Linked DNA regions of Arabidopsis thaliana. The protein of the gene in region 4 interacts with the protein of the main gene of each other region in a pairwise test. Each region holds a gene or a part of one and is shown on either strand. Other genes may lie near its edges. The genes, in order: PRK3, ARFA1D, SUB and AT2G29180.

The links.
Region 1: the proteins of AT2G29180 (region 4) and PRK3 interact in a protein complementation assay, tested with the Arabidopsis thaliana proteins (one large-scale study listed by BioGRID).
Region 2: the proteins of AT2G29180 (region 4) and ARFA1D interact in a protein complementation assay, tested with the Arabidopsis thaliana proteins (one large-scale study listed by BioGRID).
Region 3: the proteins of AT2G29180 (region 4) and SUB interact in a protein complementation assay, tested with the Arabidopsis thaliana proteins (one large-scale study listed by BioGRID).

The regions. Positions count from the first base shown.
Region 1 is NC_003074.8:14,951,214-14,958,931, forward strand, and holds PRK3 (Leucine-rich repeat protein kinase family protein), read left to right. Parts: upstream 1-3,149; 5' UTR 3,150-3,373; coding exon 3,374-4,706; intron 4,707-4,795; coding exon 4,796-5,364; 3' UTR 5,365-5,818; downstream 5,819-7,718. Other genes in the region: AT3G42870 (heat shock protein), read left to right, coding at 1-66. UniProt on the Arabidopsis thaliana protein: Receptor-like kinase involved in the control of pollen germination and pollen tube polar growth. Can phosphorylate ROPGEF1 in vitro.
Region 2 is NC_003070.9:26,562,327-26,569,316, reverse strand, and holds ARFA1D (Ras-related small GTP-binding family protein), read left to right. Parts: upstream 1-3,505; 5' UTR 3,506-3,631; exon of another isoform or gene 3,632-4,155; 5' UTR 4,156-4,164; coding exon 4,165-4,312; intron 4,313-4,406; coding exon 4,407-4,477; intron 4,478-4,557; coding exon 4,558-4,677; intron 4,678-4,764; coding exon 4,765-4,883; intron 4,884-4,960; coding exon 4,961-5,042; intron 5,043-5,149; coding exon 5,150-5,155; 3' UTR 5,156-5,599; downstream 5,600-6,990. Other genes in the region: AT1G70500 (Pectin lyase-like superfamily protein), read left to right, coding at 588-839, 959-1,087, 1,193-1,363, 1,454-1,474, 1,566-1,773, 1,872-1,953, 2,030-2,138, 2,221-2,337 and 1 more; AT1G70480 (OBP32pep, putative (DUF220)), read right to left, coding at 5,709-6,128, 6,207-6,350, 6,428-6,550, 6,640-6,798, 6,897-6,990. UniProt on the Arabidopsis thaliana protein: GTP-binding protein involved in protein trafficking; may modulate vesicle budding and uncoating within the Golgi apparatus.
Region 3 is NC_003070.9:3,719,880-3,729,675, forward strand, and holds SUB (Leucine-rich repeat protein kinase family protein), read left to right. Parts: upstream 1-2,828; 5' UTR 2,829-3,255; coding exon 3,256-3,346; intron 3,347-3,689; exon of another isoform or gene 3,690-3,723; coding exon 3,724-3,853; intron 3,854-3,950; coding exon 3,951-4,022; intron 4,023-4,187; coding exon 4,188-4,253; intron 4,254-4,344; coding exon 4,345-4,416; intron 4,417-4,499; coding exon 4,500-4,571; intron 4,572-4,650; coding exon 4,651-4,722; intron 4,723-4,796; coding exon 4,797-4,862; intron 4,863-4,959; coding exon 4,960-5,025; intron 5,026-5,108; coding exon 5,109-5,602; intron 5,603-5,698; coding exon 5,699-6,057; intron 6,058-6,147; coding exon 6,148-6,419; intron 6,420-6,492; coding exon 6,493-6,631; intron 6,632-6,714; coding exon 6,715-6,830; intron 6,831-6,966; coding exon 6,967-7,123; intron 7,124-7,236; coding exon 7,237-7,299; 3' UTR 7,300-7,571; downstream 7,572-9,796. Other genes in the region: AT1G11145 (hypothetical protein (DUF674)), read right to left, coding at 7,653-7,757, 7,833-8,165, 8,237-8,287. UniProt on the Arabidopsis thaliana protein: Regulates the expression of transcription factors that define the cell fates.
Region 4 is NC_003071.7:12,539,699-12,545,434, reverse strand, and holds AT2G29180 (uncharacterized protein), read right to left. Parts: upstream 2,503-5,736; 5' UTR 2,355-2,502; coding exon 2,025-2,354; intron 1,913-2,024; coding exon 1,733-1,912; 3' UTR 1,600-1,732; downstream 1-1,599. Other genes in the region: PUM2 (pumilio 2), read left to right, coding at 3-215, 300-410, 489-683, 769-943, 1,129-1,175; AT2G29170 (NAD(P)-binding Rossmann-fold superfamily protein), read left to right, coding at 3,155-3,246, 3,340-3,571.

The DNA.
Region 1 (7,718 bases), on a different chromosome or scaffold from region 4:
AATATTTATGGAACTCCGCAAGGATCCAATGCAAATCATCACAGTAATGTAGGAGATGAAGAATAGTTTATATTTATTGTGGTGTATCAATCTCACTTATATTTTGAAATGATTTATGTTTTTATTAAGTTTAATGTTGAATTTTATTTAATTTATGTTTGCAAAATAATTTATGTCTAATGACATATATCGTTTGTATTGAATTTCAGGCATTTCGTATATGTCAGTTGCGATCACAAGACCTTAATAATCTAGTTTACGAAGAAAGAATTGAGTTGTGGAATTTGGAAAACGAACAATTTGAAAAGTTAGTAGTTCAACCAGCTTTGAATTATTATGAACGGTATTTTCAAAAAGTCCAGTCCAAACTGATAGATGTTTGGGATGGAGAAATATATGGCGTCGACTACAGCAAGATGATGCTGCTTGACTTCAGTTATTACTGATGTCACTTCCATGTTTCACAACATTGTGTAATATGTTGCAAACAAATTATGGTCTTCAGCCAACATTGAATATAAGTATTGAAGAAAGAGTTGCGATGTTTCTACGAATATGTGGACACAATCAAGTTCAGAGAGACGATGGTTTAAGATTTGGACGAAATAAAGAGATTGTGCAGAGAAAGTTTAGAGAAGTTCTTACGGCAACTGAATTATTAGCATGTGAATATATTAGAACTCCGAAAAGACAAGAATTTTATCGAGTTCCGAAGATATTGGCTATATTTTAGTGGGTTCGTTGGAGCTAATGATGGGACTCATGTATGCTTAAAAGTAAAGTTTGAGTTATAGAGAATGTATTGGAATCGACCCGATAATGCATCATTGAACATCATGGCAATATGTCATTTGAATATGTTATTCACATATATTTGGAATGGAGCACCAGGTTCATGCCACTATACAGCTATTCTGCAAATAGCACAACAAAGTGATTCCGGTTCCCTTTGCCTCTTTCAGAGAAATATTACCTGGTTGATTCTGGCTACCCAAATAAATAAGGATTTTTAGCTCTTTATAGATCGTCACGAAATCGAGTTGTGAGATATCATATGTCTCAATTCTATTATGGTCCTCCTTCTAGAAACAAACATGAACTGTATTGTACTTTTTATGATGAAATTAGTCAACGCATTTAACAATATGTATGTTACAAAATTAAATTTATATTTTGATCAATTTTTGTATTAGTGGTTTATAAATATCTGTTATTGTTTATTTATTAACAAAAAAATAATTAATTATTAATATATACATATATATTATTCTATACCGCTTATTTTGTACATATATAGTTTTTTCACCAATCAAATATTATTCTATACCGCTTATTTTGTACAAATCGCACTTGTCCCGCAAATATATTTCTCTCGCACGTACCGCAGTTGAACCTTACCCACTATAATAACGCTTTCCCCGCACAACAAAAACCACGGTTACCATTCGAACCCTAAATTCATTCAACATCCTTTTTTGCTTTTTTAACACATCACATCATCTTCTCTTTCTTCCATATCATCATTTAACATCTACTTAATTTTTCAATACTACAATAGTTTTGTTTAATAAAATTTAACATTTTATCTTACATTATTATTTTCCAATTTTTTATTTTCTTAAATATATTTAAATTTTTGTGATTGCATATTAATAATATTTTTTGATAAATTAAGTTTGAATATCAACTAAATTAAATTAAATTAACAAAAAGTTGACATAGTTATTATAAGATAATAAAAAAATTATGATAGAAATTGTGTTTTTTATGTGTCTGAATCAAATGAACCAAGTTTTCTTTTATAGAGTTAAAAAGTTATGAATTTTCATATAAATGATTTGTTACATAATAATTGATTTTAGATACATAAGGTGAGATAAAAATTTCAATTGCCAATAACAATATAACAAGTGTCATGTCAATAATTTTTTTTTTAAGAAAAAATAATAGAAAACATGCGCGAATGTGTGAAACACACCTTCCCATAAAGTGATGAACCGTGGCATGCGTGGCCCAAAAAAAAACATGTTGGATAGATTCAACATCCAAAAATCCACATTGGTTTTTTTCAGTTTTCAACACCTTTATTTGAATAAATTAACAGTTAAAACTTTTTTCAACATGTTCAATGGAGTTGAAATTTCAACAGGTTCAGTGCAAGTAGTGTAAGTATAAATGTATAAAGATTTAACATAAATCTGCTTGATAAATAGAGCCTCTAGAATGGTGAGAAAACGATAAGACTCGTTAACAAAATGTTGACAAAATTAGTAAGAGAACTAGTTTTCAAGAACAAGGCTATACGATCAGAGGGTTTTACATATTCATGGACACATCACTTGCATCAATGTATATGATGTGACTAAAGATCATGAGTCTAGGGAAGATTCTAATGAGTTTAAGATCGAGAGCTTTTTAGCATTTTCATGAAATTCAGGGCAAAGGAAGAGAGAAAAGAGCAAACACTAAGTTCCTTTCTTCTAGCGACGCAAGGAAATCATGTTCTGGATTAAATCTCAGTAACACCTTAGTAGGAACCAAAATTAAAGTGGTGGTGCATTGAGCGGATTGTTATACTTGTTTTCTGATTTTATTTTTGATGACATTTTTTGTATATAAGAACCATAATTTATTACTGAAAAACTAGCTTGAACATGTTACATGTATATGTTGATCATTCCATATACTAATGTCTAGTTAGTTTTTCTCTTTAAAACAAAAACGTGTAGTTAATAACTTGATATTGAAATTCAATATGATCGTAATGTCTACTTCATGTTCTTTTTCGAGAAAGGAAATAGTAATCAAATTAAACTAAACATCAAAAATTTAAGCAAAGAAAAAGAATAAATACATCCATGGTTTTTAGAGATCACTCATATGATTATGTGATATCTACGATTTGTATGTAAAAATGTTAATAATAATAAAAGAAACTATATGCAAACTGTTACTTGACGCACAAAAGAAACCCGACAAATGTGGTGAAAACAAGGTCAAAACCTTTAAAAAACCATGGTCGTAAGAAATCCTCCAAGAAAGTCTCTGAGCTCTCAATTCTTTTCAATTGAAAAAGACAATCTTTAATTTAGGAAAATCATAAAAATCTATTTTTAGTAAGTGGAAGCCTAAACTTTACCAGCTAATTCCCTCAAAGACAAGAAAACATTTCTCACTTTCCTTGCGGATCCTCAAAAACAATGTCCAAACTTTTGAACCATAAACAAAATCCAAACAAAAAAACATTCCTAGACAAAGAGACAACGCCATACATCAATATTTTTAACATTATCTTGGTTATTAGATTGTTAGGAGAGACCAAAACAACAACAAGAACAACAAGAACAGCAGTTCCTCTACTTCTCCTTAACCCATGACTGCTGTTCTATTTCTCTGCTTCCTTCTCATCTGTTTTTCCTTCACCCCTTCTCTACAAAACGTTAGTGAATCGGAACCGCTCGTGCGGTTCAAGCGCTCGGTGAATATAACTAAAGGAGACTTGAATTCATGGAGAACAGGAACCGATCCTTGCAATGGCAAATGGTTTGGGATCTATTGCCAAAAGGGTCAAACAGTTTCGGGCATTCACGTCACCCGGCTTGGTCTCTCCGGGACCATCAACATTGAGGATTTAAAAGATCTCCCAAATCTAAGAACGATCAGGCTTGACAACAATCTTCTCTCAGGTCCTCTCCCTCCTTTTTTCAAGCTACCTGGCTTGAAATCTCTTTTGCTCTCAAACAATAGCTTTTCTGGTGAGATTGCTGATGATTTCTTCAAAGAAACGCCACAACTCAAGCGGGTTTTTCTTGATAACAACCGGTTATCCGGAAAAATCCCCGCTTCTTTGATGCAACTCGCAGGTCTTGAGGAGCTTCACATGCAAGGAAACCAGTTCACTGGTGAGATACCTCCTCTTACAGATGGCAACAAGGTTTTGAAATCCCTTGACCTCTCCAACAATGATCTAGAGGGAGAGATCCCAATAACCATTTCCGACAGGAAGAATCTAGAGATGAAATTCGAAGGGAATCAGAGGCTTTGCGGGTCACCTCTGAATATAGAATGCGATGAGAAACCTTCATCTACAGGGTCAGGGAATGAGAAGAATAACACTGCAAAAGCTATCTTTATGGTCATCTTGTTTCTATTGATATTCTTGTTTGTGGTAGCTATTATTACAAGATGGAAGAAGAAGAGGCAACCCGAGTTCCGGATGCTCGGTAAAGACCACCTAAGCGACCAAGAGAGCGTGGAAGTTCGTGTACCGGACTCAATAAAGAAGCCTATCGACTCGAGCAAGAAGCGTAGTAACGCAGAAGGTTCCTCAAAGAAAGGTTCATCGCATAACGGAAAAGGTGCAGGAGGTGGTCCAGGAAGCGGAATGGGAGACATTATAATGGTAAACAGCGAGAAAGGCTCCTTTGGTTTACCTGATCTCATGAAGGCTGCAGCTGAGGTGCTAGGCAATGGTAGCCTTGGATCGGCCTACAAGGCGGTGATGGCCAACGGATTATCCGTGGTTGTGAAAAGGATTAGGGATATGAACAAACTTGCACGTGAAGCATTCGATACTGAGATGCAACGGTTCGGAAAACTCCGACACCCTAACGTTCTTACCCCTTTAGCTTATCACTATCGTCGAGAAGAGAAGCTTGTTGTCTCTGAATACATGCCTAAAAGCAGTCTACTCTACGTTTTGCACGGTACTACAACGCTTTTGCTTTTCTTGATTGATGTAGAAGCATATTTTACGATCTTTTTTAATATATATATATATATTTTTAATTTGCAGGAGATCGTGGGGTTTATCATTCGGAGCTAACTTGGGCAACAAGATTGAAGATCATACAAGGAGTGGCACGAGGAATGGACTTCTTGCATGAGGAGTTTGCGTCCTACGATCTTCCACATGGAAATCTCAAATCTAGCAACGTTCTACTAAGTGAAACCTATGAGCCATTGATTAGCGATTACGCGTTCCTCCCGCTTCTTCAGCCTAACAACGCCTCACAAGCTTTATTCGCGTTCAAATCCCCCGAGTTTGTACAAAACCAGCAGGTTTCACCAAAATCAGACGTCTATTGCCTTGGAATAATCGTTCTCGAGGTCATGACGGGGAAGTTCCCGTCTCAGTACCTAAATACTGGTAAAGGAGGGACGGATATAGTCGAATGGGTGCAATCTTCAATCGCACAACATAAAGAAGAAGAGCTTATAGATCCCGAGATTGCGAGTAATACTGATTCGATAAAACAAATGGTTGAATTGTTGCGGATCGGGGCTGCTTGTATCGCAAGTAACCCTAACGAGAGACAAAACATGAAGGAGATTGTTAGAAGGATAGAACGAGTAACACTTTGAGGAGATTTGAAAATGTAAACGCATGGAAAACGTTAGAGAGAAAGAAGCTTTTGGAATCTGTAGATTAAAAACAAACAAATGAGGAAAATGGTACGTTGCGTAAATAGGAATGACACATTCTTTTCCTCTGGCTAATTAAACTGAAACAAACGAGAAGGTATTGTTTGGTAACGAAAAAGTCCTTTTCTTTTTTGTGTTCATTAGGAAGAGGTGAGGAGCAAACCATTTTTTTGTTGTTGTTTCATAGATTTTTTTTGTTGATATTTTCCATTTTTCTTTGTCAAAAGACGTTATGTAAAATCATATTAGTAGTTTTATTTTCTTAAAGGAACTTCTGATGTATATAAGTCCATGTTTTTGTGTTATATAAGATGGATTTTTACGCAAAAGAACCATGAAAACTCCAATTTTGTTATAAACAGAGAAAGAAATAGAAGAAATGAGTGTGTTATTCCATTGAGATAAAGGGTTCTTTATATAGGAGTACAAGGAAAGGGTAAAACCCTAGAAACATCTAGATGATGGGCTTAGATGATGGGCCTTATAATGGGCATCCATCTTTATTCATAACACTCCCCCTGATGACCATTATAGTATCATAACTCGTAAAGTATTTGAAATGCTGCCTCATTAAAAACCTTACCAGGAAAACCCAATGGGAAAAACCATGGTTAAGGGAAAAAGAGTGCAACATACAATTACTCCCCCTTATGAGTATATTCGTCAGATCTTTGAGACGGCGTAATCCGATACGATAGACTAACTTCTTGAAAGTAGCAGTAGGTAGCGCTTTGGTGAATAAGTCAGCCAGATTATCATTCGAACGGATCTGTAGAACTCGTACATCGCCGCTCTTTTGTAGATCGTGTGTGTAGAAGAATTTTGGTAGGATGTGCTTTGTTCTATCGCCTTTGATGTATCCGTCTTTGAGTTGTGCGATGCATGCTGCATTGTCTTCGTACATAATTGTTGGAGTCTTTTTTTCCCTGCATATATACCACAGTCTTCTTGTATATGGTGAACTATGGATCTTAGCCATACACACTTGCGGCTAGCTTCATGAATTGGTAAAATCTCTGCATGATTAGAAGATGTGGCAGAGAATAAACAGTATTTGAGAATAAGTCTTCCAAATCTTCTCTTGAACAAATTTCTGGATAAAGTACAACGCCATTCTTCTGCTCATGAATCTTTTAGATGATTCATCTTGACCATCTTATTTATTTCTCTAAATATCATTAGTGTATAATATTCATTTGGATGATTGATAGAATTTCTTAATATTCATCAAGTGTATTATTTGCGTGTTCTTTAATGTCTCGTTAAAAACCTTGTCATAGAAAAATCATGTGGGATAAAAACTATGATAAGGAAAAAGGGTACATCCACGCATATCATTCAATCTCCCCCTCGGAAACATCTTCTTCAGGAGATGATTTTCAATCAAATACAATATCTCGTTGGAATTAATAACCATAATCTTAATGATCCAAATTATATGGTTTTCATATAGACTTATAAATATCATTATCTTGTGATATTTTATCATACATTATTGTCATCGTATTACTTATGATAACTCTGTAGGAGTTTTAATGATTTTCAAAACAAATATTAGTTTGATCAATATATTTTGACAAACTCAACATAAATATACATTTATATGATTATATGCCATGTTACATATTTCTTTTTATTCGATCGAGTAGAGTTTTAGAGAACATAATTCTCATATAATTAATCCTTCAGAGATTATATCTTTCAAGAATTTCATATAAATGTCATATCCAGTGTTCCGTCTCTTATTGCCAGATTTTAGATACTTAAAAAAAATTATTACATCCACCACAAGAGAATATATCTCTTCATAATACATTTCTTATCTTTGTGAAAATCTCATTAATTTCACTATTCTTTCACATAAAGAGTCATTTATTTTCCACTGGTTTTACACATCATGTGCATAGACTAGTAGTCCAAATATCTCTACTAGAGATTATAATTATATGTCTATTTCTTCTTTTCCATTTTTGGCTAATCATTACTTTGTGTACACTTTTCAATAGACTTTCTTTCATGATCCTCCTTTTTGTCCATAATATCAACTGCTCATAGCATGCAAATATATTACGACGTCGATTTGCTTTTGATTCCATTATATTTTGACATGACATAGCTAGCTAGATCTCTTCATTGTCAAGTACTTGAATGTTTCATTTGTCATGTTTATGTCTCTTTTAGAGATCATTCACTCTCTTCAAGAGATCATCAAAATATTTATTTCCTCAATTTGGTCATTTTTAATTTTGTGCTCCTTCACTTTTACGAGGATATTTATATTTGGAACCAAGGTC
Region 2 (6,990 bases), on a different chromosome or scaffold from region 4:
ATATCCATTCTGTAAAATTATCACAAGGAACACTTTTTTTTTTTTCTTCAAAGACTTTAGTTACGAGTAAACAACCTCTCTAAAAAAAAAATTTTGAACGTATCAAATCTTCAACTCAAGGTTGGTACAACAATTGACCTATAGTACTATATATATATATATATATATTTACATGCATGGGACAACAACTATATGTTTGATTTTTCGTTTTCCAAACTATATATGGCACCATGTTTAAATGTCACAAGTTAAAAAAAATGTTTAAATGTCACATGTTTAGCTTTATGCGTCCTTTTCTCAGAGTTAATGGGATCAATATGTTGACCAGGAAAATATGTGTAGAGTTTTTGGAGTAAAGCAAAGAAGTGGGAGCCTTGTGCTTTAAGGTTAGATGAATTTGTATTAAGGGCTTGTCTTCATCTACTTTAAAGCCAAGCCAATAAAATCGCCTTAATGATCTGCTTATATATATATTCAAACCATATTATCATCTCATTACAAAGAAATCATTTTTGCATAAAATCTCATATCTTAAACTATACAATCACTTAATCTTTGCTTGGAGTTCTTTTTTTCTTAAGCATAAAATGATTAAACCCTTTATTATTTCTCTGTTTGCTCTGTTGATGGTAGCTTCTTATGGAGCTACAGGAAAAATGTTGTTCAAGGAACTTGACATTCTTGGGAAGCTTGAGAACCTCGATGTACCTGAGGATGATATTGAGGATGATGTGACCTTCTTTGATTTCTCGTCGTTTACAAGCCAATATTCTGGTAAGAATCTGGTGAATGTGGATAGCTTTAATGCATCTGGAGATGGAGTTTCTGATGATACTCAGGTGCGTTATGCTCGAATCGGTTTAAGAAATTCATGATAATGCTGGTGGAATAGACACACAAAACCACCATATATATATATTTTAATTATCAACTAGTGAAAAGTTTCTCTTATAACCAGGCATTTATAAGAGCTTGGACCATGGCCTGCTCTGCACCAAACTCTGTTTTATTGGTTCCACAAGGACGTAGCTATTTAGTAAATGCGACGAAATTCGATGGTCCATGTCAAGAAAAATTGATCATTCAGGTAATCTTTTAACTTCTTAATTCCTGTTACACGTTAAGCTACAACAACATGTTACCATTTATTGTCTTATGCATTTTTATTTTTTTTTAATTTTGATTTTGATAGATTGATGGAACAATCATAGCACCAGATGAGCCTAGCCAATGGGACCCGAAATTCCCAAGGAATTGGCTTCAATTTTCCAAACTCCAAGGAGTTGTATTCCAAGGGAATGGAGTTATAGATGGTTCTGGTACCAAATGGTGGGCTGCTTCTTGCAAGAAGAACAAGTCTAACGTAAGTATCTTCTTTACATAAAGTGGACTTTCTTCTAATCAATCATGAAGTAGAAATCTGACACATATCTTTCTTGTTTTTCTTTTGTAGCCTTGCGTAGGCGCACCAACGGTCTAAGTTTTTTCCCTTTTGTGTTCATCGACCATTAGACTTATCATTTATGTTTGATTTTGCTTATAAGAAAGTCTTTACTTTTATACAGGCTCTAACTATATATTCAAGTTCAAATGTGTATGTGAGAGGCTTAACTATCCGGAACAGCCAACAGATGCACTTGATCATACAACGGTCAACTACAGTTCGAATCTCTAGAGTTATGGTCACATCTCCAGGAGACAGTCCCAACACTGATGGAATTCATATAACCGCATCTACCGATGTTGTAGTCCAAGACAGTAAAATCAGCACAGGTTCTTCACCAAAAACTTCTATTTAACTCAAAACACTATCATGGTAATTATAATATTAAACTCAAAATGTTATAGCTGACACTTCAACTTGAAAACAGGAGATGATTGTGTCTCGATTGTGAATGGAAGCGCCAAGATAAAGATGAAGAGGATCTACTGTGGACCAGGACATGGAATCAGGTAAACCATCTCTAACCATAAAAAGAAATGAGACACATATATTATTATTGATTGCAAATAATTTCTTGTTCTGTAGTATTGGAAGTCTTGGACAAGGACATTCGAAAGGAACCGTCACTGCAGTTGTGTTGGAAACTGCGTTCTTAAAGAACACAACTAATGGTCTAAGAATCAAGACATGGCAGGTAAAATCTCAATTCTATTGATCTTTGCTTTCCTTCCAAAGAGTTTTCAGGATTGATTGAAAGATGAAACTCTTTAAAACAGGGTGGTAATGGTTACGTAAAGGGTGTACGTTTCGAGAACGTAGTGATGCAGGACGTTGCGAATCCGATTATAATCGATCAATTCTACTGTGATTCACCATCAACTTGTCAAAACCAGGTTTTAATTCTTTCACATAACCATTGACTTATCAACAAACCTCAAGAAAGAAACTTAATCTTTTGATTCCTATTTCTTTGCAGACATCGGCGGTTCACATATCCGAGATAATGTACAGGAACATAACCGGAACCACGAAAAGCTCAAAAGCCATCAACTTCAAGTGTAGTGACGCAGTCCCTTGCAGCCACATTGTCCTCAACAATATCAACTTGGAAGGCAATGATGGAAAAGTAGAAGCATATTGTAACTCTGCTGAAGGGTTTGGTTATGGTGTAGTTCATCCTTCTGCGGATTGTCTGTATTCGCATGACGACAAGAGCTTAAACCAAACTGATCAGTATTTGGCAGAAACTATTATGGTCGAAAAAGAAACTGAAAATGCTCATGATGAGCTTTAAGGTGATCACATATTTTGACGGTCGTTGTAGTGAGGAATGTGCACGTTATATTTAGTTGTAATTCATCTTTAGCAACTGACCTTATATATATAGCTTGTTAATGAAGCATATACAATGAGATTGAAAAGCATTGTAGTGTTTATAAATTGATTATAATTAAGGTAAAGATTAATATTTTTGTATAAAAAATGAATGCTTATTTGGTAGTTTGTAGCATTTGCTCATCTCTCTATGTTTTGTTATGATCGTTAAGGGTTGGCAGCAAAACCAGACCCAAATGTTTAAATTTTTAAGCTAATACTAAACCGGAATTGTCTCTCAATTGATTAATTTTATCATTTTGAAAATAAATCTTTTAAATGATTTTGTGGCTAACGTTTCCCAAAGTTAACCAAACCAGACAAACAAAATTTCATTAAAAATATCATTAATAGATGTAGATATGTAATCATATTATATATATTAAAATTATTTTAATAATTATAAAATTTATCAAAATTGATTGAAATGACGATTTCTTATTGGTCAGACAACATCAACAAATAACGAAATTTTCACTGGAGATGAAGTAGCACTTAAGAAAAGAGTATTGCTCACGTGTTAAGTTTTAATTGGTTAGCTCGCGAACACCTGCACACTTGGTCATAGAAGATTCGAAGAGGGTAATTCCGTCAATTACAAATGGCAATTTCGTTAATTGGCGTGAGAAACGACGAATAAACCGGTACCCCTCTCCCTTATAAAATTGCTCTCCACCACTTCCCATTTCGGCGTCATCGCGTTTCTCTTAAGCTTCTCTCACATTTCTCTTTCAAATTTCTTCGAGTCTCTCTCGCTCTCTCCGTTTCTTCGCGGTCTCTCTCTCTCAGATCTCTCCGAAACATTCTTCGTAGGTACGCTTTGATCTAAGATCTGTGCTCATACATTCTCAATTTAGCGTAGATCTGTATGTGTTCTGCATTTCTCGTTTCTTGTGAATTTTGATGGTTTTGGAATCGTCGTGATTGATTTCGTTGAGGTTGATCTTGCTCATGAATGGATAATGCGATTTTATTTTTAAGATGTGTATATATGTCGACGTTTCTGATTACGATCTGATAGTGTGGATCTGTTGAATTTTCTATTCACTTTCGTTTTCCGTCGTTGTGATTGTATCTGATAGCTTCTGAGATGTTGAAGATCTGTATCAGAGAGATTATGATATCTCGGGACGTTTGATTCTCTGTTTGGATCGGCCTGATCTCGTTGAAATTTGATGTTTGTGAGTGACGATTTTGGTATTGATCAGGTTCTTAGAGGATATAAGAATTGAATTTGGCATTATAGATGCATAATTTAGGATTTCTGAGATGAAAATCGCGTGATATAGAATGTGTATGAGGTTTTTGATATTAGACTTTGTTGTGTTTGTTTGCAGTGAAGCAAAATGGGGTTGAGTTTCGCCAAGCTGTTTAGCAGGCTTTTTGCCAAGAAGGAGATGCGAATTCTGATGGTTGGTCTTGATGCTGCTGGTAAGACCACAATCTTGTACAAGCTCAAGCTCGGAGAGATTGTCACCACCATCCCTACTATTGGTAAAGAAGCTTCACACCTTAGTACTGGTTTTTAAATTGTGATGATGGTATAAAATCTAGGATCGATTAGTGATATGCTAAATTCTATCAACAGGTTTCAATGTGGAAACTGTGGAATACAAGAACATTAGTTTCACCGTGTGGGATGTCGGGGGTCAGGACAAGGTATGGAGTCTCTGTACTGCTTATTGTTTGATGAAGGAACTTTTCACCCAAATAAACTGACTTTTTGGCTTCTTTTTCAGATCCGTCCCTTGTGGAGACACTACTTCCAGAACACTCAAGGTCTAATCTTTGTTGTTGATAGCAATGACAGAGACAGAGTTGTTGAGGCTCGAGATGAACTCCACAGGATGCTGAATGAGGTAAATATCCAGTGCTATAGAGAAAGAGTTCTTCTTCATAGTTTTGTTAGTTTGAAAATCCTTTACTTACCAACTCTTTTATTGCAGGACGAGCTGCGTGATGCTGTGTTGCTTGTGTTTGCCAACAAGCAAGATCTTCCAAATGCTATGAACGCTGCTGAAATCACAGATAAGCTTGGCCTTCACTCCCTCCGTCAGCGTCATTGGTAAATAAACATCCTTATAAGTTTCAAAAGTCAAACAATTTCTGTTCGATACTGATGTGTGTTTTTGCTCGCTACAGGTATATCCAGAGCACATGTGCCACTTCAGGTGAAGGGCTTTATGAAGGTCTGGACTGGCTCTCCAACAACATCGCTGGCAAGGTAACATAACTACATAAGTTTCTTCAAAAACACACAAATCTAACGAGCTGGTTTCTTTTTATTCTGCGATGCTTATATCTTTACCTCGTGTTGCTCTTCTTGCACAGGCATGATGAGGGAGAAATTGCGTTGCATCGAGATGATTCTGTCTGCTGTGTTGGGATCTCTCTCTGTCTTGATGCAAGAGAGATTATAAATATTATCTGAACCTTTTTGCTTTTTTGGGTATGTGAATGTTTCTTATTGTGCAAGTAGATGGTCTTGTACCTAAAAATTTACTAGAAGAACCCTTTTAAATAGCTTTCGTGTATTGTGCCTGGATTAATATGATTGATTGTTTTGCTTTCTTGTTTTTGCGTATCCTATTTTCACGTCTGCATCGTTTTCATCACAGAAATATCTTTCTTTCTTTACCAAAATAAATGAATTAGAAATTTTGTATATTTGAAAATTCATATCACTATTGGTCATTGAGTCATGGTTGTAATGGTCATGAGTCATTGAGTCATGGTTGTAAACTTCTTCAACAAGGAATAGATTCCCACATTTATATGCCAGTGTATCTTATGAAAACAAATATTATATTATGTTCACATATTGCTGGGTGATCCAAAAATCCTCAAGATATCTATTATCCCAGAATCATGGACTGTGTGAGTCTGTGACTTAACACAAATCATTGCGTCGTCTCCTTGATGTTCTTCTATGTGCAGACCATCTTTCTTTTATATCTCCAGGTGTGCCAATCCGTTGCTCATCGGGCGAGTGACCATCCTCCATTACTCCAGCTGCACGGATCCTGGCGGTCTCAGCCAACAAGTCATGGATAAGCATCTCTGTCGTCTTAGCCGTGATTCCTCTGAGATACCAAGAAATGGGCGGAGGTGGAACAATCGCTGGCTGTATTAGCTGGTCCAGCGTTACCTTAGATCCGATCCTCCCTTTACCTCCAGTGCACCTGTTATACTCCTCCAGCGTTTTCGGTTTCAAACGATCGCACATATGTTCATCCACAAACAAAGGCTTTACTTGCCAGCTTCCTTCGAATCTCTTCATGAATCCACTTTTCACTTGCTTGAATTTCATCTGCAACACCCATTTAAATCCCCTTTCACGAACCATTCAAGAAACTTGAGACTTTTGTTATAATCGTAGAGGTCTTACAGAGTGATCTGCCCGATCCTGATCCACCAAGACATGAACTGAGATTGTTCCTGACCACCAGAGAAATCTCCACAAAGCTGCTTGTTCAACTTCCACCACTTGCCTTAACCCGTCATCTACCAATACTTTCCGCGACATAACCTCCTGTAATTCCGAGGCCAATGAATCACAGGAGCTTAAAACTGTAACAGAGAGAACAAGATAATCTATAAGAAACGTACCTTGATATTCTTGAAGACTCTTCTATTGTCAGGGTCAATTACAATGTTATAGACTGCATCAGGAGGTAAACCAACATTCACCTCGGCTTTAAGATTGCAAAGCGATCCTTTTGGAATACCCACCTGTAAAGAAATCTTGTTATTATTTATCATATAACAAGATTCTCAAAGACTCTGACAAAACCATGTTGTAAAGTTCATCTCTTGCTCACCTTAACGACTGGGATCTGATCAGTCCACGAAGGGTTTTCCCTCCAACAATCTAACTGTTTCTCCAGATCAATTTGCATGGAGATCGATGAGTTTCCTTTATCTTGCCTCCATGAAGAACCAATCCCATGCTTATCATCTGTCAAATTCTTCAGCTGGGACTGTGACAAAGAGAACAAAATGCTTCCTTTTTCAGCTCCTCTAAAGATCAAAAACATCACAAGGTATTGAAAAGCAATGTGTGGAATCAGAGCATGACCTTAAGACGAGTTTGGAGTTTCTGGGAAAATCCAACGAATCGAGAGAGTGCAGGATCAAACACACTTGAGACCACATTTCCCTTGTTTCTCTCT
Region 3 (9,796 bases), on a different chromosome or scaffold from region 4:
GTCAAAATCAGACGCAAGCAAAGTCACGTAACTTTGACCCCAAAAAGAAAGTTACCATCATACACTAAATTCAATTCACTATGATCGTCCGAACCAACAAATTTCAAATAATGTATCATGAATATTTGAGTCTTCATCTTTTATACTCAAATAGGCTAAACTTATTAGTAATTTATTTATTGTATTATCGTCTAGAACTAATCCACGATTTGAATATGCTGTGTGACTTATAAAATCAAAGAAAATACTTAGTTAACATAAGTGTATTGGTTTAGTTTTTTCCTATATTAATAAACCAATACTCTTCTTTATTTCAATCAAAATGTAGTTCTTTTTTTTTTTTTACATCAAAATGTAGTTCATTTATAATTGGTTTAAGACTTGATTCATAGTGTAAAAACAAAATAGTTATTTAGTTTTACATGAACCATTAGTAGGTTCTAGTTTGTGTATAAAATAGTTTATTTGTTCTACAGCCTTACTTAACTATCTTAGTTTATATTCAATCGTGTAAAACAAAACTGGGATCCTTCCTTTTTGGTTACCATAGGTATGGAAGTAAAAGTATTTAGGTGTTGTTTAAAAAGTACAAAAATTCGATTTTGTGGTTTGTCTATTAGTAAATCATTCAAACGTTTTTTCTTTTTTTTTGATAGCAATTTTATTATTATTCTTTTTACTTTTATAGGCTCATCTTTTGGAGAGAGCATTGTAAAGATTATGCTTTTCTTAACGCTTTCTTGTTTGTCCTTTTGCACCCCACATCACACGTTAACTAATTTATTGGATGAATGTTGAATAATTTCCGCCGAGAGAAAAAAAAACAGGCTTCAATAGTTCTGTATCATACTTCAAACTAATTTAGAAAGTTTGAGTGTATCATACTTGTGTATATTGGAAAATGAAAATGGAACGAGACAATTCAATAGTTCTGATCAATTTAATATTTTCAAAACGATCAAGTGCATAACAGCAAATTGTATCCAAGTATCGTCTAACAAATTCTTTTAAGTTCTTTTTTTGACTTTTCATAATCTATAGAACTTTTTCTTTGAAGCTTCTTGATGTAAAATGGTAGGGCGGAAAAAGCTAGGGTGATGTAAAACCAAAACTTGAACCAAAATTCGTGTAGATACGTAACTAGATTTGATTTAAATAAATAAAACATTCGTTATGTGCCTTGGATCCTCTGGCTAACGGGTGACCATAAAGTAGTGTTGCATTCTTTAATTTTGTTTCGCCTTTTGCGTAATGAGAGACCATATTATAAAATAAAGCCTAACTTTACAATATCTGTATTTTTTCCTCGACACTCTTTTTTAAGAGACCAATAGTTTGAATTCATTATCATGCATCTTCCAATCTCATAACTAATTTGGTATGCATGTATAAGTGCTACAATCATTATTATATGGGGTTTCTGATTTTTTGAAGTACAAGAATCAAAATGAATCCAACCTGATTGGTGTAGTTTTGGGTCGAGTTCGGTCGAAACAAAAATTTGATTCGGTATTATTTATTTGATTTTGGTTCGGTTTATTATGGTTGGCACTTGGCATATTGGTTTTGAAAAAAAAAAATGTTATCATGTACGATTTTTTTTGGGTGCAAAAAAGCATCATGTACGATAGTTTTCTACTTTTCTTCAAAGATTGAAAGTAACCGTTGCAATCTCATTGCATTATTAGGCCTACGAGAGGTATCTTCTTTCAAGTGGGCTTTACCATTACACTATTGACCAAGTTTGGGCCACATTTGGTTTGAATAGCCCATAAGAATGTGGTTTTTTTTTTTTAACTAGTCGCAACTTATTATCGTGTATGGTGTGAACTTGATTGATTTTGACAAGCCAAAAAAATCGATTGATAATTAATTGATCTCGACAAAATAAAAATCTAATATCAACACATAAGCTCACCAAGCATGTTTTATTCTTTATTGATCATACAATGTATGTTTGCTGTTATTATTCGGGTTGCAAATAATTTATGTGAATATCAGAACTTCAGAAGTAACTCCTACCAAAAAAGGAACTTGAGAAGTAATCACATATGAATATCGAAGTTACTCTCATCTCAAATTATGCAATGATGGCATTCCATTAAATTACTACTATTGAATTGTACACAAATCCTCCATCACATCAACCAACAAACAAAGAATAATACAAATTAAGAATATATTCCAAAGAAATTGATAAATAGTGATTGTTAGTTGTAACTGTAAACACAAAACCAGAATTCTTAATTATTAATAGAAAAACAAAGGTTTCGAATGGTAACCAAAATGCACCGTGCAATCATACATATAACATTAGTTAGTTATTTTTAGAATATATTGAAAAGATAATTATTGTATAATTACTAAGTATATTCAATTTAAAGTCGTAAGAAAAAACCCTTTATTGGCTCTAATTGTTTAAAAACATATATTAGGATTCACTAAGATGTATAATTGAAATCAATTTCCAAACCATGTAAAAGTACTAGTTTTCTCAAATAGTTTGTTGCTATTAGTTTGTTACTAAAACTAATTCACACATTTTTATCACCAAAAGAGCAAAAATGGACGTGGGATGAATATGATGATATTTTTTTTGACCTTGTTGTAGGGTCTCTCACTCTCTTCTTCCATTAAAGAATTCTCAGAGCTTTTCTTACTTCAACTGTTTTCTTGGCCCATCTCACTGAAATAAGTGTGATAAACTCTGCCTGTTACATTATTTGGATTTTAATAGGTGAAGTAACGGAATATGTAATCTACATCAAAATAATATTCACTTCTATCTCTCTACCTTATGGCATTAGAAAAATCCAATTATTACATGAAAGGAAACTATAGTAATTAGATGAAGCATAGAAGCGACAATTAAAAGACATAAAGAGAGACAAGTCTTGGCAAGTTTTCTCTGTTTCACACTTTGGAGACGAAACCTTAAAGGCTTAAAACTGAGAAAAACAAAGCCGTTGGCTTTTGTAAGCCGCTCGTTCTTCGAGACAAAACACACTACACTCTTTCTCTCTCACTCACTCTTCATCTCTTTTCTTCTTTCTCTCTCTCCTAAAAATCCGACGAAATTATGATTCACTTTACCTTTTAATCAGGAATATCCCTGTTTCACCCTTCTTCTTCTTCTTCTTCTTCTTCTTCCTCGTGTTTTTTTTCCATAACATTCCCTCTGAATCTTCGTTTTTTATTGGAAAGAAACAATCTAATCCAAGTTCAAGGGTTTTCTCATCTTCAGTGGCTGAAGTTATGAGCTTTACAAGATGGGAAGTGTTCTTTGGTCTCTCTGTTTTAGCCTTGACAATGCCTTTCTCAGCTGGAGTTACTAATCTACGAGATGGTAATAATCTTTCTCTGCAAAGTTTTTTTTATTTGGATTTTGCTTTGACTCTCCTTCTTTTGGTTTAGTGAACACTCTAGATTTTTTTTAGACTTGTGTCTAGTGAAAATGACTTACATCAGTTTTAGGGTAAACTAGGTAAGCAATATAGCTGTTTGGGAAGCTCCAGATTGGCAAAGTTCTATGATTTTGAGGCTACCTCAAAAACCCTAAAAAGTTTAGGTTTTTGACACATAAGCTCTTGTTAGGGTTTTAGTTCAAGACCAAGAAATTTGTTCTTATTGTTCTTCATTAAATGGTTATCATAAGAAAGATTCTTTAATCTCTAGAAATTTTACTTTTTGATGTGTTTGTCTGTTGTTTAATAACTTCTGCAGTTTCGGCGATTAATAACTTGTATATCACTTTGGGAGCACCATCTCTACATCATTGGCTTGCTTTTGGAGGAGACCCTTGTGGAGAAAAGTGGCAAGGTGTGGTGTGTGACTCCTCAAACATCACAGAAATGTATACTTCCTCTTCTGCTCTTGTAACTCTTTGTTATGGTTTGCTTTGAGTCACCAATTCAGGTTCTAACCACGTGAATTATTGTTGTTGGCTGCAGAAGGATACCTGGCATGAAGGTAGGTGGAGGCTTAAGTGATACTCTGGCTGATTTTTCATCTATCCAAGTCATGTAAGCAAAGCTTCTTGTCTTGTTTTCTTTCATCTTCATCTTTTGTATGAGGCTTCTTGCTATGTGAAGAACATGCAAGATGTTGTTACCATTGACTATAAGGTTTGGTTATAATCTTGAATTGCTTTGTGATACTTTTTCTCTCTTCTTTGTTTGAGTGGACAGGGACTTCAGTAGCAATCATATTTCAGGGACAATTCCGCAGGCTTTGCCTTCTTCCATCCGAAACCTGTGCGTTTGAGAATTGACTATGTGTATGGCAATACTTATGTTTCCAACAGTTAAAAGACACTTCATGTTTGGTTTCATTTTCTTGTTTCAGATCTCTCTCAAGCAATCGCTTCACTGGGAACATTCCCTTTACATTGTCCTTTCTATCCGATTTGTCTGAACTGTAAGTCTTTATTAATGTAGATACCGTTTCTTGCATCTGCGGTTTTTCCTCTGTTTGAAGCAGACTCTTTCTTTTCCCTTCAGGTCATTGGGAAGCAATCTTCTATCAGGAGAGATACCAGATTACTTTCAGCAGCTATCAAAACTGACAAAACTGTATATTTCCTCCTCACTAAGTCTCATTTTGTATCCTCCCATCAGCGTCTTTCATTTATACATTAAGTTTCTAATGCAGGGACTTATCGTCTAACATACTGGAGGGGCATTTACCTTCTTCCATGGGAGACTTAGCTTCTCTTAAGATATTGTAAGTGCACATATATGAAACCGTATACAAACATTGTTATCATTGCTTTTATATGTGATGTGGTCGGACTGTAGGTATTTGCAGGACAACAAGCTCACAGGAACACTTGATGTTATAGAGGATCTTTTCTTAACCGATTTGTAATCGTTTTTCACCTTGCATACTCTTTGTTCTTGACTCTCCAACCATTAAGCCAACTTCAGTATCTCACTATGGCTTTTCATATTTTTGATTCAGGAATGTAGAAAACAACTTATTCTCGGGACCTATACCGCCAAATCTATTGAAAATTCCAAACTTCAAGTAAGTATTACTAAAAGAAAACTTGAATGTTTTTTTTTTCCTTTTCTTTAGCCATTCATGTTACATTGTCATTATAACCGCAGAAAAGATGGAACTCCGTTCAATACATCGATTATAACACCACCGCCTCCGCCTGTGGTTGATCCTCCTCCCGCTACTCACCGTGCTCCTCCTGTTCCCCGTATCCCTCCTGTTTCTGGTGTTCCCCCAGCACCTTTTGCTCCTTTTGCTCCACTGCAACCACAACAACATCCACCACCATCACCACCTCTGGTCTGGTCACCACCTTCTTCTGATAATGGAGGAGGAGATCCCTGGAACTCTGTGTCAGGGCAACCTACCTTGCAAATATCACCTCCTTCAGGTTCAGGATCAGGAAAATTCTGGTCCACTCAAAGAATCATTCTAGTAGTTTCTTCAGTGGCCATAATTGTTCTTGTATCCGGTTTGTGTGTTACACTTTGGAGATGTTGCAGAAGTAAAATATATAACCGATATTACAGTGGAGCTCGTAAAGATTTACAACGACCATACTTCAATAAGCCTCCATCTCAACCAACCCCCACTATGGGAAAAGGTACACTGATTCTTTTCCTTCCAAGAAAAGAAAAGAAACTTGTGCTTTGGCTCATTACCTAACGGCAAACTGCTGTGGTGTTTTCTTTTGTTGCAGTTTCTCGGGAGCCTATGGTTAAGCCTTTCGATGGATATGGAGCTGGAGACAGGAAATATGGGTATCCAATGCCACAGCGGGCTGAAGAGAGCCGGAGAGCAATGCCTCCTACTTCATATTATAATAAGGATGTTAATACACCTCAAAAGCCGCTGCAACAACCACCGAGGCAGTTCCAGTCCAATGATACTGCTTCAAAGAGAGCGGCTCATTTCCCCCCGGGCTTGAATTCCTCATCTTCTGCTACTGTTTTCACCATTGCTTCACTTCAGCAATACACAAATAATTTCTCAGAAGAGAATATAATCGGGGAAGGGTCGATTGGTAATGTCTACAGAGCTGAGCTTCGTCATGGAAAGGTGTGACACTTTCCTCTTATTTGTCATTTGGTCTTACAGTATTTTATGCTGTGCATTCTTATTTACGTCTTGACACGTTGTGATCTATAGTTTCTTGCGGTGAAGAAGCTGAGCAATACCATCAACAGAACACAGAGTGACGGCGAATTCCTCAATCTAGTCTCCAATGTGTTGAAGCTTAAACGCGGTCATATATTGGAGCTTCTTGGTTACTGTAACGAGTTTGGTCAAAGGTTACTTGTGTATGAGTACTGTCCTAATGGATCACTTCAAGATGCACTACATTTGGATCGCAAGTTGCACAAGAAGCTCACTTGGAATGTACGTATAAATATTGCATTAGGAGCTTCAAAGGCATTGCAGTAAGTTAAAGAACCTCAACATGTTACGCCAATCTATATTTGGAACATATAGGATCTTAGAGTTTGGTTTCAGGTTTCTTCATGAGGTATGTCAACCGCCGGTTGTTCACCAGAATTTCAAGTCTTCCAAGGTTCTTCTTGATGGAAAGCTCTCAGTACGTGTTGCAGACAGCGGTTTGGCTTATATGTTACCACCACGCCCAACGAGTCAGGTAAATTTGTCATCTTATTTTGAAGATCCCAAACATAAGAGTGAGTGTTGTAAAGGATATGATGTTTGCTTATAAAATTGTAGATGGCGGGTTATGCCGCTCCTGAGGTTGAGTATGGAAGCTACACTTGTCAGAGCGACGTATTTAGCCTTGGGGTTGTAATGTTAGAACTGCTCACTGGACGCAGACCATTTGACAGGTTAGCTACTCTAAAGAGACAACTAATAGAAGCCATAAAAGAGTCTGAACTCAAAAGTCAACATGTTCACTTATGTTTCTTATGCAAAATCACTGTACTACACTATCTCAAGACAAAACCCTGTTTTTTTTTGCAGGACAAGGCCGAGGGGACATCAAACACTAGCTCAGTGGGCGATTCCTCGGCTTCATGACATCGATGCGTTGACAAGAATGGTTGATCCGTCATTACACGGAGCGTATCCAATGAAATCATTGTCACGTTTTGCAGATATCATATCACGTTCACTGCAGGTAAACTTAACTTCATTCATCACTTAACTAGATGAGAAAGCAATGTCAAACACGTGACATCAGAATATTAACTAACCCTTTTGACTTCTGTGCATGCTTATCTTTGTCTGTAGATGGAACCAGGATTTAGACCGCCGATATCAGAAATAGTCCAAGATCTTCAACATATGATCTAAGATACACAACCTTGGACTAAGACGCAGAAGCAATAGTTTATTGTCAGATTCTTGTTCTTTGTCCTTTGATGAATGAAAGTATTTCTTTTGTATTATAATAACACTTTATGTATGTTGTTGGCTGTATGAAATGAGCTATGGGATCATCATTATGTAACCCCAATCCCATTACCGGCTCAAACATTATTCACCAACCTGATCATGTATTTAGATTCTATTTTCTGAAAAGGATAAACATTTTTTGAATCAAAAGACATTAAAATTCAAGAACAAAAGGTTGTACTTAACAGTAGTGTAAAAGAGAAGGTAACTTGTTCAACTAGCACTGTAGACAACAAAACCTAAACTTCAAATCAATCTGCTCCACAGAGGGCATGTGATTGATGCTTTAGAGTCGTTTCTCTGAAAGAAAGCTCCCGAAAGCCGTAGTCAAGGCAGTGGATGTCACGAATGAGGCTCTTAGTAAACCTATGGCCTGGATTAGTGTCAGATTCAAAAAAAAATATCAGGAAAGAATAGTAATATAGATATACATGTGTTTTGCCAATGTTGATTTCATGCTCAAAAATATCGTCCAAGTTCACATCAAACTTCTTCTTTACGCAAATAGTAAGATCATCTGAGACAATGTATGTTGCCCCTCTCTTAACTAACCCATTGCTACCATGAGGTGTCGACTGAGAACTACCGTCACTGTTTAAATAACTGACCCCAAGCAACGGTTTCTGCAAACTATATTGCCAAGGAAGCATACATGTGTTAGTAGATGCATCTGTGCCTCCCCTAGAGCTCAAGTCCTTCAAGCTTCTACAAAAGTTGCCAATGCATACTAGGTCGATATTGCTTCCAGTGATTTCCCATACAGACTCCAAAGGGATAGCAAGGAAAATGAAAAGTAGATCCACAAAAAGTCGTGTCCGCTTTCAGCGTCAAGAACCTTCATGTCCTGCTTCCTAGCAAACAGAGTGAGTCCCTGCTTCACCTCCATCTTGCGCGGGTAGCTTTGGCATGTCATGCCAACGTGTCATACCACAAGAGCTATGCTTCTTCATCATCATCAAATTGTGGAATCTCTGATCTATTTATGCCATTACGTTTTCGCACTCTCCGATCTATTTATGAAATTTTTGAATCCAGGTTCTATCTCTGCTTCATTGCTTGCTCTCTTCGGAAACTCCTTTCACTGATGTCTTTTTGAAATTGGGCCATCTAATTTTTTTGCATATAGGATGATCACTACTTGCCATAATTGCTCAAATGGCTATAGAAAATGTAAATTCTTACTGATGGAAAAATATAAACGAGAATTAAATGAGGGATCTAGAGAATTATGGGGGTGTTAAAATAGCAAATCTAATATTATTTAATTATAAATTTTAAAAGGTCTAATAAAATCTAATAAAATCTAGTGTTATTGAAAGCTTGAAAATCTACTCAAAATTTTCATGTCCTTGAAAACTTAAGGATTAGATTTTTAATGATTGTAAGAGATTTTTAAATCTTATGGCTTTAGGTGGCATTGTGGTTTTGAATGGTTTCCTTAAATCCACCCAAAATCATAAAAACATAGAAAAACTCAATTTACCTCAAATCACTCAAAATATAAGATTGAATACACCCCCTTAAATGCTTGATTTTGTTCCTTTTATCCCTTTGAGATATAAATATTTGCTCAGCAGAGAGAGATAGAGGCAATACTATTATTGATGGAGGAGGCAGAGAATCGAGTGGTGATTGCATCATCAACACAAAGAAAGAGAAAGAGAAGAAAGATAAGAAGAATAATAAAAAGAAAAGGTTAGATCAAAAATCAGCTCATGGACTGCAAGAGCACTATCGTACGCAGGCCGCCTTACTCTCATCAAATCAGTACTTGTAAGTATCACCAACTTCTGGATATCTGCTTATCGATTACCAAACAGTTGTTTAAAGGAAATTGAGAAGATTTGTGCGGCTTTTCTGTGGTCTGGACCGGATCTTAATCCCAACAGAGCTAAGATTGCTTGGACCGAGATTTGTAAGCCAATAAATGAGGGAGGGCTGGGAATTAAATCACTAGTAGAGGCAAACAAGGTTAGTTGTTTGAAATTGGTATGGAGGATACTATCCAAATCAGAGTCTTTGTGGGTTACTTGGATATGGAAATATCTCATACGAAAAGGGTCATTCTGGTTGGTTAAAGAGAGCTCCAATATGGGTTCTTGGATGTGGAAAAAGCTATTCAAATATAGAGATTGTGCCAAGACTATGCACAAGGTGGAAATTAAGAGTGGCAGCTCAACCTCTTTTTGGTTTGATAATTGGTCACAGTTGGGCAGATTGATCGATATAACAGGTCCTCGTGGAGTCATTGATTTGGGTATTCCTCTCGATGCAATGGTTGAAACAGCTCTACATCCTCGACGGCGTCGAAAGCATCGAGTTGACGTTCTCAACAGAATTGAAGCTGAGATACATACTACTCGCCAACGGATCAGAATAAATGAGAAGGACATCT
Region 4 (5,736 bases):
AGGCAATTGAGGTGGTTGATCTAGACCAGAAAATTAAAATGGTGAAAGAACTCGATGGACATGTGATGCGATGCGTACGTGATCAGAATGGGAACCATGTGGTTCAAAAGTGTATTGAATGTGTGCCTGAAGAAAACATCGAATTTATTATTTCCACCTTCTTTGGCAATGTTGTGACCCTCTCCACTCACCCATATGGGTGCCGAGTTATTCAGGTTCTTGCTCTTAGTAATAAAGAAAAATTACACAGTTCTTGATCTTATGCTTCTAAGTAAAACACTTCTCGTCTTATGTTGCAGAGGGTATTGGAGCACTGCCATGACCCTGATACTCAGAGTAAGGTTATGGATGAAATCATGTCAACTATTAGTATGCTGGCCCAAGATCAGTATGGAAACTATGTTATTCAGGTTTGTTAAAAAAGAGTTATACTACAACTGGTTATTTTGTATAGGTTGCTTAAAAACTAATACACGTTTTGTTGACAGCATGTATTGGAACACGGAAAGCCTGATGAGCGTACTGTGATTATCAAGGAATTAGCGGGGAAGATTGTTCAGATGAGCCAACAGAAGTTTGCTTCAAACGTTGTTGAGAAATGTTTGACTTTTGGAGGGCCAGAGGAACGGGAATTTCTGGTAAATGAGATGCTGGGCACAACTGATGAAAACGAGCCTCTTCAGGTTTGTCAAACACATACTTTCAGATGATTGTTGGAGAAAATAAAGAAACTATTAGCTCATAAGCTTCTTCATCTTTTGTATTTAGGCGATGATGAAGGATCAGTTTGCCAACTATGTAGTGCAAAAAGTTTTAGAGACATGTGATGACCAACAGCGTGAGCTGATCCTTGGTCGTATTAAAGTGCATCTCAATGCTTTAAAGAAATACACTTATGGAAAGCATATCGTTGCTCGTGTTGAAAAACTCGTTGCTGCTGGAGGTATGTTTAATATGTTCTTTGGCTCCAAAGTTTCGACCTTTACCTGCTATAAACCTTTCAAATTGTCTTCACTTCGTTTTATTTGTATCATCTTACTTGATTGAAGAGACTTCTATAAGGATTGGAGAAAGAAAGACAATATATTGCGTGTCAATGTCTCTAAGTGGGTTTTTTCTCATATACAGAGAGGAGGATGGCTTTGCAGTCCCTAACCCAGCCTCAGATGGCGTAAGGCCGCAAGTGTTGTACAGCTTAACTAGGGTGGATGGCTCTGCCATAGCGTTTTGAGAATTAGGTAAAATCTAAACCGGAAATAATCTGCGGGAAAATTGTGAAGGAGAGCTTTGTTTTCTCTGCAAATCTGTAAAATTGTGTAGTTGCTTACGGTTTTTCTATACATAGAACCAAACATCCCACTTTAGGCTGATGAGTAAGAGAGGAAATATGCAGAGAATGGTGTAAAGGTGGGCTGAGGTATGGTGAGGATTTTAGGGTTTCCTTTACACGAAAGAGAATGGCTTTTTCATTGCCAAATGTGTAGAAGTGAGAATATGTTCATGCTTTTAGGACAATCCTAGTGTTTAGAGTTTTTTCTCCATCTATGTAATTTGTTTCATCAAACTCTTGTTTCCTATTTCACTAGTAACTCTTTCGTTTCTGTAATATTGCAATATTTTTGTTATATCGACCATCAAGTTGCTTGGTACACAAGAAACATATCATAGATGTGACAATCACTGAGCAACATTACAAACAAAATCAATCTTTGTCTCTCTACTACACACAAAATCACTCAAGATCAATGTCGATGTCATCATCTTCAATCTTCTGACCAAAACCTCTTGGTCCAGCTCTGGCTCTCATTGCCTTCTTCTTCCCACCTTTCTTAGACTTCTTTGCTGCCTCGTCTTTCTCAAACTTCTCTCTCTCCCTCTTCCCAAGAAACTCAGTCACTCCAATGTACACAACCTGTAATGAAATAAAACCGGTTTAGAGACTCACAAACCGGGCTTCAGGTTTGGTTCTGTATTTTGATTTGACATAGTTTATGGATAAGATTGGTTTTGTGGATAACACTTACACCAATGGTGAGAACCGTGAGAGCAAGAAATGCAACAAAGAGAAGCACTTGTATAATCAAAGCAACACCATCTTGTCCACCACTAGACACAACTGCTCCAGAAGAAGAAGATGAATCAGAAGAAACGATCTCTTGGGAAATTTCTTCCGGAGTTGCAGAGACTCTCCATAGTTGGGTTTTTTCTTGGTGAAGACGAAGAACCCTAAAAGACAAGATCTTTCTTCTTGAAACAGACCAAGAGAGTGGAGATATATGGTGGCCTTTAACTGGAGTTTGGAATCTTGGTCTGAAATTTGAAAGAGATAGAGATGGTGTTGTTGTCGCAGACATCTTTCCGTCCACTCCCACACTCTCTGATCTCTTCAGATTCTGGACATAACCCACTTCTGTTTGGTTACATCCAACGGTTCATGTTTTCTTGAGATTGAGAACAGATTATTGATGGGCCAAGAAAAGCCCAATATATTATTTTCGTGGGCCTTATATTTCTATTAGTTTTTGATTATGCATCATTAGTTACGCCATCATCACTAAACTACAGTCTTAAGATTGTTTACTTTGATCTCTAATTTTTCTACCCACCACAACAGTCACAACGTCAAGAGATACGTTAGCTTTCCTCAATTTCTTCAAACAATCTCATAGCCTCGTATCATTAATTCATCATAAATAGCCATTTTTCATTATCATTTCTCATCAAAATACATCATTACACAACAATGGCTAGAGCAGAACAGAGCTCAACCCATGTTACATGGGGTCTTTAGTTTTTCTCAAACAATGAAACATGAGTCGATCCCATGTAGTTGGGGCTTAACCCTTAATCGAGGCCCATTATTTTGAGTAACCTAAGAAAAACATCAAAAGGCCTTACTGTGTACGAACGTCATTACTCATTATTATCATTCATTCATTCATTATGAATTTTTCTCAACCATAAATTCAGATCTCCAAGAAAATATCTTTGGGTCTGTGGCTCATAATCAGAGGTGGCTAAGACATTCAGACAGGGGTTTCAAAGGACAAAGTTAAACAATTCACGTAAAAGTATCTTTGGCCACCCTCACGACTAGTCTTCCACCTCTTGGCCTTAAATATGTGACCTTCATTGAAGAAAATAGTATCCAGAAATGGCTAAAGCAGAAGAAAACTTGAGAGACAAATGTAGATGGAGCCTTGGAGGCATGACCGCTCTCGTTACCGGTGGCTCCAAAGGCCTCGGGTCAGTCCCCCTACTAATCCAATATTGAATACATTAATATGTCATATTACATATTTGCACGTGTCAATATGTATACAACTGTGTTATGAATAGGGAAGCTGTGGTGGAGGAACTAGCCATGTTAGGAGCAAGAGTCCACACATGTGCTAGAAACGAAACTCAGCTTCAAGAATGCGTACGTGAATGGCAAGCTAAAGGGTTTGAGGTCACCACTTCTGTATGCGACGTTTCTTCTCGTGACCAACGAGAGAAACTCATGGAAAACGTTGCCTCTATCTTCCAAGGAAAACTCAACATCCTTGTAAGTTTATGTATAAGAGCATAATGCATAAGGTTTTGAGCAAGATCAAGTGATTTTTTTGTTGTGTATTTGTTGGAAGTGATCAAGTCATCATCTTATTTTAGAAGAGATATATTATATAGTGAAGTAACTGGTTTATATATATTCGTATCACACATCGAAGAGATACAAATATAATTGTTAACTACAAAACAGTTACATGTGTGTATGTGTCTCTACATTAGGTTGTCTTCTAGAGACGTGTCCCTTAGTCAAAGTGTGTCATGTAAACCTATAAATACAGTTTGTATATGTAATAAAAGTGTGTGGTTTTCGTTTTATAAAAACAGAGTGAAATATAGAGTAAGACAAAACAGAGTAAAATCTGTGTTGTCCGATCCTTAACAACTTTGAGAGTTCAAAGTTCTACATGGTATCAGAGCTATGGAGACAACAATGCAGCAAGTTATTCCAATCTTCAATGGTGAATCGTATGGCTTTTGGAAAATCAAGATGATAACCATCTTGAAAACAAGGAAGTTGTGGGATGTTATCGAAAATGGAATTACGTTGAGTTCGTCGTCTGAAAACTCACCGGCGTTAACTAGAGAGCGTGATGATCAAGTGATGAAGGATATGATGGCTCTTCAGATTCTTCAAAGTGCAGTTTCTGATTCAATATTTCCGAGAATCGCTCCGGCATCAAGCGCAAGAGAATAGATGGAGTTCCAAGGAAGTTCACAAGTAAAGATGATTAATCTTCAGACCTTGAGAAGAGAATATGAGAATCTGAAGATGGAGGAGAGTGAAAACATAAATGATTTCACAACCAAGTTGATTAATATGAGTAATCAACTAAGAGTTCATGGTGAAGAGAAAACCGATTACCAATTGGTTCAAAAGGTTCTTATCTCCTTACCGCAACAGTTTGATAGCATCGTTGCGGTCCTTGAACAAACAAAGGATCTATCAACTTTCTCTATGACAGAGATGATAGGTACTTTGAATGCGCATGAGAAGCGCTTGAGTCTCCGAGAAGAACGTATCAATGAGGGTGCGTTTTATGGAGAAAAGCTTGGCTCAAGAGCAGAAAACAAGCAAACAAAAATCGCCATGGGAAGACCAACATGTGGTGCAGCGTGTGTAAGAGGAACAATCACAATGAGGTAGACTGTTTCAGAAAGAAGAGTGAAAGCATTTCACAAAGAGGTGGAAGCTATGAAAGAAGATGCTATGTGTGCGACAAGCCAGGACACATAGCCAGAGATTGGAAACTTAAAAAAGGTGAAAGAGCACATCTAAGTAGTGAAGAATCAGAAGATGAAGAAGAAGATGAGTGTCATATTCTCTTTAGTGCTGTTGAAGAAAAAGAGATCTCAACAATTGGAGAAGAAACGTGGTTGGTAGATAGCGGATGTACCAATCACATGTCTAAAGATGTTAGACACTTCATCACTTTGGACCGCAACAAGAAAATTACCATAAGGATTGGTAATGGTCGAAAGGTCGTGTCTGAAGGCAGAGGAGATATAAGAGTATCCACAAACAAAGGAGATCATGTCATCAAAGATGTACTTTATGTACCCGAACTAGCAAGAAATTTGCTTAGTGTCTCTCAAATGATATCCAACGGATATCGAGTCATCTTTGAAGACAACAAGTGTGTGATTCAAGACTTAAAAGGAAAGAAGATCTTGGACATCAAGATGATGGATAGAAGTTTTCCAATTCGTTGGAAAAAATCTAGAGAAGAAGTGTATGCGGCATTCAAAGAAAAAGAAGAACAAGGAGGAGGGAATGATCTAAACGCTCAAATAGATCAAAATTTGGAGGGAGCAATGAATGACGTGAAGTGGATAGAAGACATGAGAGAAGAGTTGATGATGATAGAAAAGAACAAGACGTGGCAAGTTGTGGAGAGACCAAGCAATTGGAGCAGATCAGTTGAGGACAAGAAAAATACAAGTGGCTATGTCTTTACTTCTGGATCAGGTGCATTTTGTTGGAATTCTAGCAAACAGAAGAACGTTGCTCAATCAACGACCGAGGCGGAACTCTTTATCACATCAAGGTTCGAAGTTCTACGAGAAGAGCTAGACGTAACGATGAAGCCATGATCAAGGAGGAGTGTTGGAAGTGATCAAGTCATCATCTTATTTTAGAAGAGATATATTATATAGTGAAGTAACTGGTTTATATATATTCGTATC